Drosophila melanogaster: one gene and its partner. Changing the gene in region 1 together with any one later gene gives a genetic interaction. Each region holds a gene or a part of one and is shown on either strand. Other genes may lie near its edges.

Evidence for each region. Genes that interact genetically often act in the same process or in processes that back each other up.
Region 2: of Ced-12 (region 1) and spg, changing one enhances a phenotype caused by changing the other (phenotypic enhancement), as found in Drosophila melanogaster (one study listed by BioGRID).

What each region holds. Positions count from the first base shown.
Region 1 is NT_033779.5:12,096,002-12,101,382, reverse strand, and holds Ced-12 (Ced-12), read right to left. Parts: upstream 3,546-5,381; 5' UTR 3,433-3,545; coding exon 3,321-3,432; intron 3,028-3,320; coding exon 2,017-3,027; intron 1,957-2,016; coding exon 1,405-1,956; intron 1,342-1,404; coding exon 842-1,341; 3' UTR 544-841; downstream 1-543. Other genes in the region: patsas, read left to right, coding at 1-135; Mt2 (methyltransferase 2), read right to left, coding at 3,711-4,687, 4,737-4,797; CG6712 (uncharacterized protein), read left to right, coding at 4,963-5,381.
Region 2 is NT_033777.3:28,843,542-28,848,299, forward strand, and holds the start of spg (sponge), read left to right. Parts: upstream 1-1,758; 5' UTR 1,759-2,425; coding exon 2,426-2,459; intron 2,460-4,758.

The sequences.
Region 1 (5,381 bases):
CCTTACTTGCGGGACAAACGCGGACGATATCAGAATCCCTTCTCGCGTGGTCCCATCCTGAATTTACTCGAATTCTTTGTCTGCCTGCCGGACCGGGGCGATGACAACGATCTCCTGCTGGAGGATAACATTTGATTAAGGATCTAGGATCGAGCCCCTGCTCGCCGGCGCAAGCTGCCCGTGCGTGGATAATGTTGCGAGGAGGCAGCCAGAGACCCACTCGGGTAGGCTGCCAGTTTGGTTTTGCTCCGCAGGCTTACTGCTTACTCGAATGCTTTAAAGTTCGAACCAAAGGTCGTCAAGTGCGTGTTTTATCATTTACAATTGCAATCAACATATCCTTGCGGAAGGACAAATCGATAGCAAATTCCAAGTGCAATTCAGAGCATCAATAAATTACATTGCTAAGATTCCATTATTGTTAACGGCTCCAAATCAATTCCTTCCGCAATGGTGTTCAAAGCATCGGCCAGCCGTGCTTTTTGCTTTTTTTAACTAACTAATTACCTTTTAGGCTTGGATAAGAATACGCTTCTCTTGTTAGTTTTTGTACAAAATTGTTATGTATAAAATGTGTTATTTAATGATCTCTATATATTATATACCTATTATAATCATAAATGGTGTAAAGTTCACTAAATGGCTAGGCAGCGGTTAGTCACTTGGACGTGACCGTCACCAGTTTGTTCATTTTGTGTTCGGGGAATTGCACAAGTAATACTAGTAGAAGATCAGATCGGAGAATACGATTATGTTGTGTGTACACTTTGGCATGTATCTTGGGTGATGGGGGAGTCTAGAATGAATCGAATAATTCGTGAAGTAATTGTGCTCGTTATGCTTAGCTCTCAAAGCAAAAATCATAGTTTTCGGGATCCTCCGGTATTGGCGGTGGGTCCTTGCTGATGTCCACACCTTCCGTGTCCAGCAGGCGCAATTTGATCTCCATCGACAGCAGAGTGTCGAAGTCCTCGTTCTTTTGCTTGCTGACCATCGGTTGACCCAGCAGCGCGTTTATTCCATCCGTCCAGTAGTTGAATATGCTTTCGTCGGGTGCCACAAAGTCCAACGTAGAGTGCTCCATGTTTTCGAAGGTGATGGAAAAGGCCAGGTTTACCGCCGATTTCCGAATGCGAGTTTCCTTCATATGCGGGCATTCCTTGCCCTCTAGCAATTGCTTAATCTCACTGATGGGCAGTTTCTTGGGCAACTCCTCCATGGTGGGTATTGTCTTCTCGTCGCAATCTCCGTAATGAATCACCTTGTGATTCGGCGAAAGACGAGCGTACCAGAACTTGTCCTTTGTTCGAGTGCCTCGCAAGTATTTTGCAAAATGTGTACCTATAAGTGCAAGATTTATCCATGTTAAGATTGCCCTTGAAATGTATTTATTAGAAATTGTACCTTCCACCAGAAAAGAGAGCCGTTGCTGCTTGATTAGCTCAAGAATTTGCGGTGATATCTTCTCTTTGAGCTTAACAATCGCCGAAGCTGTGGAATCACACTCCTCCTTCGAAGTGCGCTCCTGCTGGCGCAGTGTTGTGATCTGCTGATAGGTCAACAAAGCGATCTTGTTTCGGAAATCGTCCAGGTTCTCGGGTCTGCCCTTTAGAGTGCGCTGGATCTGCTCCCGCACCACGCTGAAGGTTGTGCTGAAGTCCTCGGCAGTGGCACGCATATCCTTCCATGTGCGATTCAGCGTAATGACGCATATGCAAAAGAATTCCTCGAACGGCGAATCGTGCGTAAAGAACATGGGCTGAAAGTCACCGGATTGCTCGGCTGGTGGCTCGCCGATGCGAAGGATGTCACATAGCACCTTGACCAATTCGATGGAGGTGCGTCCGAAGGGACACTCGTGCTCATCCGCACGGCAGGAGTTCTCCCTGACGATCTTCGCATACTGTTGCGTGTAGTTGCGTGCAAAATACACCATGCAATCCAACGCTAATATACCTGAGAAATACGTTTCGGATTATCAACCAAAATAGCTTTAATATAAGAACATATTCTTACCCGGCGGCGTCTCAATGAAATCCTGGGCAGGGTTAATATCGCACTTGAAGCCCAGCTTTTTGTAGTACTGCGAGAAGTTGACATTGCCAGCTCCGGAGCCACCGCCACGACGGATGTGATCGTCGTTTTGATTCAAAGCGTTGGTATTATCGTCGAAGGCAATGCGCCGCAGCTCCTTGATCTTCTCGTGCGCGTCCTGGTCCTGCGCGTTCATCTTCATACGCATGCGCTTCTCCAACAGGCCGAGAGTCAACGTTTGCAGCACGTACAGCTGGTGGGTCATCTCTGTGCCCAGTCCATTGCCGATAAGGGCCAGGCGGAACTGCTTGGCACTAATAGTTTGAGCAATGGTCCTGCGGCGGCCCTCGTCTGCTTTGACGAACAGAGCGTTCAGCAGGGCTATGGCATTTTGTCGCATCACCGGCGAATTGACATCCTGAAGCAATCGGAGAATATCCTGCAGCTTGATGTCCTCGGCAACAAGCACATGTTTATTGCTGCACATAACAATGTTCTCCAAGTTGGACAGGGCGCTCTCACCACAGTTCGTAGGATATTTCTGAAAGTTTCGCACGATCTCAATGTTGCGGGCCACGAATGAGTTTTCCGGCACCTCCCAGGACACCGTGCCGTGCTCCATCAGCTCCACAAAGCTGGCCAGGCTGTATTTCAGAATGTCTTCGTTGGTCTGGCCGCCATCCTCAATCATCTTAATGAGTGTGTCGAGACCCTTCTCCTTGATGAACTCCAGGGCAAATGTGTGATCGGTGCTTAGGGAAGTGAGCTCCTTTAGACGCAGCGCCTTCTCCTGTGGACTGCCATTGAGCAGCACCTCCATGGCATCGCAGGCAGTCTTGGATGGCGAATACTGCAGCTGCAGTACGGAGCCATTCTTGATCTCATTGCGATTCTTTTCGGTCACGTACTTTCGGTTAGTGGGCTCGTAGAACTGGAGTGCATAGTTCTGGTGATCGCTGATGGACCAACCATTGCAAATTTCCTGGATTTTACCTGCAAGCGAAGGCGGCATTAATACGCTGTAAATAGCAACTTCCTGACCAATTGTATGATTTGCATATAAATGAGAAAGAGGAAATGAGTGCGCTGACATCACGATAACACTTAAACATAGCGAAGGGCGTTGGTTGGAAGTTCCTCCCTTATGATGGGTTCCTTTGCTACTTTCAACATAATTCTGGTTTATTAACTTCTTGGAACTTTGTTTTACATGTTTAAAGCAGATTCTCTTTAAAACTGCTGCTCAGCAAGCGAAAAATCTTTGTTTTTATCCGCTATTTACTCACTTGCCAGCGGATGCCTTTGATCCAGATTTATCAACTGCGCTATATGGTCCTCTCGCTCCACGGCTATTTTCACAATGTGTGAATCCTTAACCGTCGTCTTTTTTGGTATCATTTTGGCACTCTTTCAATTAGCGATAATTGCAATTATTATTGTTTTTCTGCGTAAACTTATATTCTTTTTTTTTTTAATTCAGTGCAGTGTGACCAATTGACAAGTAGTATGGAATATCACACAGCACACAACCGTTGCGTTTTGTGGCATAGGCAACACTGGGCGGGAAAATTATGTGGATTTGAAATAAATATTTTAATGATAACAGCGCAGAGTAATTTCCTAGCTAATAAATGTATTAAAGTGAAAATAAGCAAGCAAATATGTTGTATTTTGTTTTATTTTATCGTCAGCAATTTAATAAGTTCACCGACAACCTTTACATTAATACTATTTCCCAGCAGTCGATACTTTTGTCGATTCGTTGTTTCTGGCGGAAATTCAAAATTCTCCGGAAAACTCATTAGACGAGCAACTTCCCGTGGCGTGAAATAGCGCAGTCTCACCTGGTGCAACAGGTCCAAGCGTTGCTGCAAAATCTTCTCCGACTTCGATGCATCCTGATTACTTGTGTCAATTTCCTTGACCAACTCGAAGATGCGGTGGGATTCGTCCTCCGAAAGCGGTGTGTATGCAGAGCCCGTGCCCTCGGTGTAATGGGTGTAGCCCTTTGTAAAGCACATGGATCTACTTTGAGCAGGATGTATTATGTCCATGACCAGCACTCTTTTGGTCAAGACATCGTCGGGCACCAGGAAATCGGGTGATACATTTTCCTCCACAATCTCGGCAATTTGTGAAAGACCCTGATTCTGGGCTATAGCACCCGGCATTTCTTCCCAGATCTTTCCACCGGCAAATGGAAAGTCTGCACCCTTGCGGGCGATGCAATAGTAGCGATATCGAGTATTTGGCACATTGAATTGCGTTGGCGTTAGAATAAACTCCCGCCAATGGAATCCCGACCGCTCCAGCGATTCAATAAACTGATTTCGCGCCTGTGAGCTCTCGAAACCCTTGACGTTTTCCATGAGTATGTACTCCAGTTCCTGGCACTCTGGGATCAGTCCACACAGATGAGTAAGTGCATCCGATCGCTTGTCTTCCGTGTCCCTTTGCAATCCCTGGCGAGTGTGGGGCTGACATGGCGGGGACATCAGCAGCATGTTGGCCTGAAGCTTTGTGACTTCCTTTACACTCAGGCTTTGAATATTCCTAGTTTTCACCAAATTACTGCCGTAATTGTGCGCATAAACCGCATTGGCCACGGTGTTGACATCCAAGGCGGCAACTATTTGTCCATCCAATTGGGCATCTTCAAAAGTATATATTAGTTTCGCATGTATCATGATCGACGAACTCACAATTAAAGGCATAATGCATGCCGCCAATGCCACTAAATAGTTCTAAGACCCGAAATACCATTTTAATTAAATATATTTTTGTTTACAAACTACACGTTGTGAGTGGCACGTTTTCCAACACTGCCCCACACAGCAGATTGTCTGCGTTTCCGTGTGATTGGTATAAGAAGAAGAATATCAACACGTGCCGCTCGCATTTTTGTGAATTCGTGATTCTCTCGGAATAATGATAAAAATTAAGCGAAAAACAGCCCCTCCGCCCGTGGAACAGGACTCGGACAGCGATTCCAGCTTTGACGAGGAGGAGCCACAGGATTTGGAAGTCCAGGAGGGGCCAGTCACTGATAGCAGCGATGAAGAAGCCGCCTCCAGCAGCAAAAAAACGGCCAAACAAGGGGAAGCCAGTGAGGATTTAAAGGAAGAGGATGATGACGACGATGAGGAGGAGAATGACGACGACGACGAAGAAGAGGATGATGACGACGACGACGACAAGAAGACACGAATTCCTGTTTTGAATCCCCTCAGCTGGATGCGCAACAAGGAGCAGCGTTTGGCGTTGTACAAAAAAATGAAGAAGGAGAAGCACAAGAAAAAAATGCAGGAGCGCCGTGCCCGACGGAAGGCTGGTGTACCCGCCAATCC
Region 2 (4,758 bases), on another chromosome or scaffold:
AATTACAATTAGAAGGGAATAGCAAAAATAAAAAATATTTCTCCAATAAGTGAATTCCCATTAAGCTAATAACCAATTTTGCCACCACATCGCCCCATCCCACCCACTGTGCGGTTTTTTGGCTTGGCACACATTTTGCATACGAAATATTCGCGGCAGAATTATCAAAGAAAAAAGAATGGAAGATTTGCGGGGGAAGGAAAAGCGGTAAAGATGATGACACCGCGAGCCATCAAACCACAGGGAAATGTACGCAAAAACATTAAATAATGAAACTACATACTAACTACTGTACATATGTACATATGTATGTACTTATGATTTCTGTGTGTGCATTTATGAGCTGGTTTAATGAACGCCACTTTTGTTTTGCTGCCCGGTTGTTTTGTGTCTTTGCCGCCGCGAGATGATGATTATGTAAATTGTAGAAAAGTAAAAGGGAAACTAAATACGAGCGCATGCAGTGTGGAATTGTGTTTTCCTTTTCTCCCATGTTTGTGGGCATGTAAGACAATCGAGCGTGCCGATATTAACGTATTTTCCTTAATGCGGTGATTAATTATGCTGAGGTGAAGTTGAATGGAAGTGCTCGAAAATAGTTATCAATTAGGCGTGCCACAATCACTTGCAGCTGTTGGAAAACTAAAACGAAAACAACAACAACGAAACAAACGAAACACACTGCGTTTTCCAACTGATAAAGGAGCACTCACACACATAGACACACACATGCACGCACTTTGCACACCCACACTAGGGCGCAGTCGCGTTCTGATTGGGACCTTTATTGATTTTTCCTGTAAAAGGAATCGGCAGGAGAACAGGAAACTACTAAAGAGTATCTCATGCTCCAAGTTGAGCTAAACACATTTGTATTCGCCAGCTGTATATGGTGCGCATTTATTGAGTAAACATTCTGCGTTTTATTGTCAGGCCCAAAAAGAACAATTCCAATTGGAAGAGTCAGCGACTATACTCCCACACACACACGAACCCAGAGATTCTCCGATTGGCGTACCTTGACTAAAAACACAATTTCTCGGCAGCTTCCTCGCCCACCAGATGACACATTTCCCGCTTTATCACTTGTTTGCCCACAGATATTGCCACTATTTGGATTCTTGGCTTGTTTCGCGACAAAACAAATACGCAGCGCGGCCGAAATTCCGAGTCCGCTTATCAACAAAAATTGCGACCAACCGCGGCGAGCAGTGTGACTGTTATATCGAGAATTCGAAAAACCAACAAGAAATAGCTGCTAGGGATGGGAGAATGTAGCGATATCTTGGGATCATATATATCGCTTGAATATTTACTTCGTTCGTAATATATTTATACTGCAATTTATTTTCTAACCTTAAAGATTTAGTGCTTATATTTTATTCATTATATATCTCGGTTAAGTAATACGTACACCGTTAATTTAAAAGAAAAAATTTAAAAAAAAATGGGATAGAGTTAATGGGGCCGAGTCAGACCAACGCTATGGACTGCATATTAAAACGGATTTGGTATTGTTTTGTTTGTTAAATTATTGAATACATTGAATGAATGTGCCTCCAAAACTGTAACTGCGAATTGGTTCGGGTCTTAGCTAGACCATAAATACCGGTGTGACCGTCACCGCTAAAATGAAAATTCCCTCAAAAATGCAATAGTAAATAATCCATCGCTTAGCAACTGGCCACACTGCAACGTATATAAGCCGACGAATCCCGAATTTTGTTGTTGTTCTTCAAACAGCTGAGCGGCGGACGGATATTTGTTGTTGCTGCGCCCGGGAAGCTGCGCAGCGGAGAACGCGAAAAATAATAAAACGCAAAAAATAGCGAAAATTAAACGCGTTGCAAGTGCAGCAGAAAACAACGGTAATAATTCGCGAAGCCAAGGGACAAGCAATTTAAATTGCGCACAGTGTAGAAATCCAATTGGAAGTTCGGCTGGGAGTCCCAAATTCGTATTGATTTTCTTGTTTGTGTGTGCGCGGGTCCGTGAAAAAGGCAACAAAAGCAAAGCCACCACTTCCAGACTTCCCAATCAGCCACTTCCTTTTCTTCCACCTAGCGGTAATCATTGCCAATTGGAACCGCGATCGTTGCCTTCCAGCGACAACAACAATGTAGCAAGTGTATTTTCTGCTTGTAGTTGTAGTTATTAAACAAGATAAAGTGCGAGAAAGAGAAGGAGATAGACAACAACAAAAGCGAAAGTTTTATTGAGTGCGTAGATGTGTACGAGTGTGTATGTGTGCTATTGCGAAAAATTGTTGATAAATATTGGCCGTTATAAATGCGAATTCAAATGCAGATATTTGCCGATGAAAAGGGTGTTTCCTCAAAAAACCGTTGATTAATTATAAATGCAAGGAGTGGCCGGCTAAGTTGGATTTTTTCGGCTTAACTTGCAGCGAAGCAGCAGCGACAAAATGTGGATACCTTCGAACAACAAATACGGAGTTGGTGAGTAAATAATAAGAGTAGGCGGTGTGCCACCCACTTTTCCAAGCTACCCACCACCCCCCGCTGGGCGTCACGTGCGCGGCCTTTGTTTTTATTGCTGCCTTTTGCGGCGATTCACGCGTTTTTCCGCGAAACGCCGGATACCATGCCAACCACCCCCGCACGTTACCGAGCGGGGAGGAAAAGCGACTTTTCTACTTATTTTTGTACACAAACTGTTTGTAGCATCATCATCCCCCAGTTCACCGCACCGCCCCCCCCCCCTTTCCATGCAGCGTGTAGTGTATCTCAAAGAGATTTCCCTGTTTGTTGTTGCTGCCGCTGCGCTGCGATTTGATGTGTTTATACACACAGTTTTCCGCGCGCTCAGTTTTCCCGCACAGCGCTCGGCTGTCGCGTTGCCAATTTCCCCCCAGCCCAGGTGTTGCCAATTTAAATGCTTTCGTAATTACGAACACCTAAAAAAATGTTTATTTCGCAGACAAAATATATATTTGTCCAAGTTCATATGGTTGATTTTGATTTGAAACGTTTCTCTGATTCTGATCTGAAAATAACTACATCTTAATTATATTTCCTAGTATGCTAATATAAAACCTACTCGGTAGATAGAATATAGAAATGGGAAAGAAAAACGCTTCAGTGCACATGGTAAAAACTATTTAAGATCTCAAGAATCGAAACTTGCTTGCTATGGACTTTATTTTTCTCGTTACACATTTTACTTGGAATATGTTGCTGGTTTCTCTTGATATATATATTATATCTATAATATTATATCTATTATCAAGCTTTAAGCAGAATAAATAAACAGCAAATATATTTTTGCCTGCACCACAGTCTACATTTAAACGGTTACCACTGTGTAACCGGCGTGGAAAATCAAGTTGCGTGTTGTGATAACACACATGCGAATAATACAAGTGAATCTTGGATATTCTTTGGGCAGCACAATGTGCTGGTCTTGGTTTCTCCTCGACTGGGATGCTCCATTATCTTCGCATTCGTCGCACTTCTCGCTTCAATGGCAGCGCTTAACAAATTACTGCGGGGACAGGGCAGGGAAGTAGTCAACAAAATAAAATAAGACAAAATAAAACAAAATAAAATAAAAGAGCCAGCGAACGACAACGGATGATTTGCTGCGGACGATGTACTACGTACAGCATCTTCAGTGGCAGACTCTGTGCCAAGTTTTATTCATTGTGCCGCTTCAATGGGTTTTCTTCGCCCAGATAAGCACCAATATTCATTGTTTATGGGATGCTCTACCCAAGGGAATATGTCCTACGATGTAATGCCTAAAATGTTTCCATAAAATTAATAAATATTGCTTGATCAGTTTGGCATTCTATATTGCTTCTATCTTGGTGGTAAAGGGTATGCAGTCTTCGTCAGTACCATCCAAGTACTCTTCATTACAGCTCCGTTTTTGTGCTCCAGTCGCTCCAGTTCGCCATCAATCGTGGCGACAGCTATTGGCTGCTGTGCGCTGACATTTGCTCCACATTCAACCCGGCAGAGATTGACATGAGAGCGGTCAGAGTTTACACAAATCAATCAGTCAGTCAGTCATCGGGCAATCCAGCGATCCAGGCTGGTTTAGCATCATTAGCGATACGAGGCGCTGGCAAGCCAACGCCCTAACCTTGCACAATGCCCAGTCCCGCCTCCTTGCGCACACTTTGGACCTACTTCCTTGGTTCCCGGCCCACTGTCCTCCTCCTGTCGTTCTGTCCTTTCATCTGGGAGCGCCACGTGCTGGCCAACTGCAACTGCTGGGCAATGACTTCATTACCAGCGCGTTCTTTGTCCGCAGCCCTTGGTTCTGCGCTTCTTCCCCTATAAGTAATTATTGTACCGCTCCTGCTGCACATACAGTCGAACATCAATAACTTGAAAGCTGAAACCACCATCTGTCACGGGACGAATCATTTTTCAAATGTATCAGGCTTTTACTCATGTTTACATTCAGTTTTTGTATATTGAGTTCGCACATGAAACTGAAAGCACTTGGGAAAAGTATTTCTTTCATAAACTTTAGGGATAGTTTAATAAACTCTACATAAAGGAAATAATATATATTAATATGGAATTTTAGTAGTATGGTTATAAAGCTATTCTATGGGAAAATCCATTACCATCTTCTGAATGTGTTAACTGAATCTACTGAATGGAAATTATTGGTAGCTTTTATTAAGTTTCAAAAGGTTCAATCCAGCGAGGTCGGACTGTAGCTGTGCCCTCAATTGCGCAGTGAGTCGCGTGCACAATGGTGACAATTCCGCGGAGCAACCCT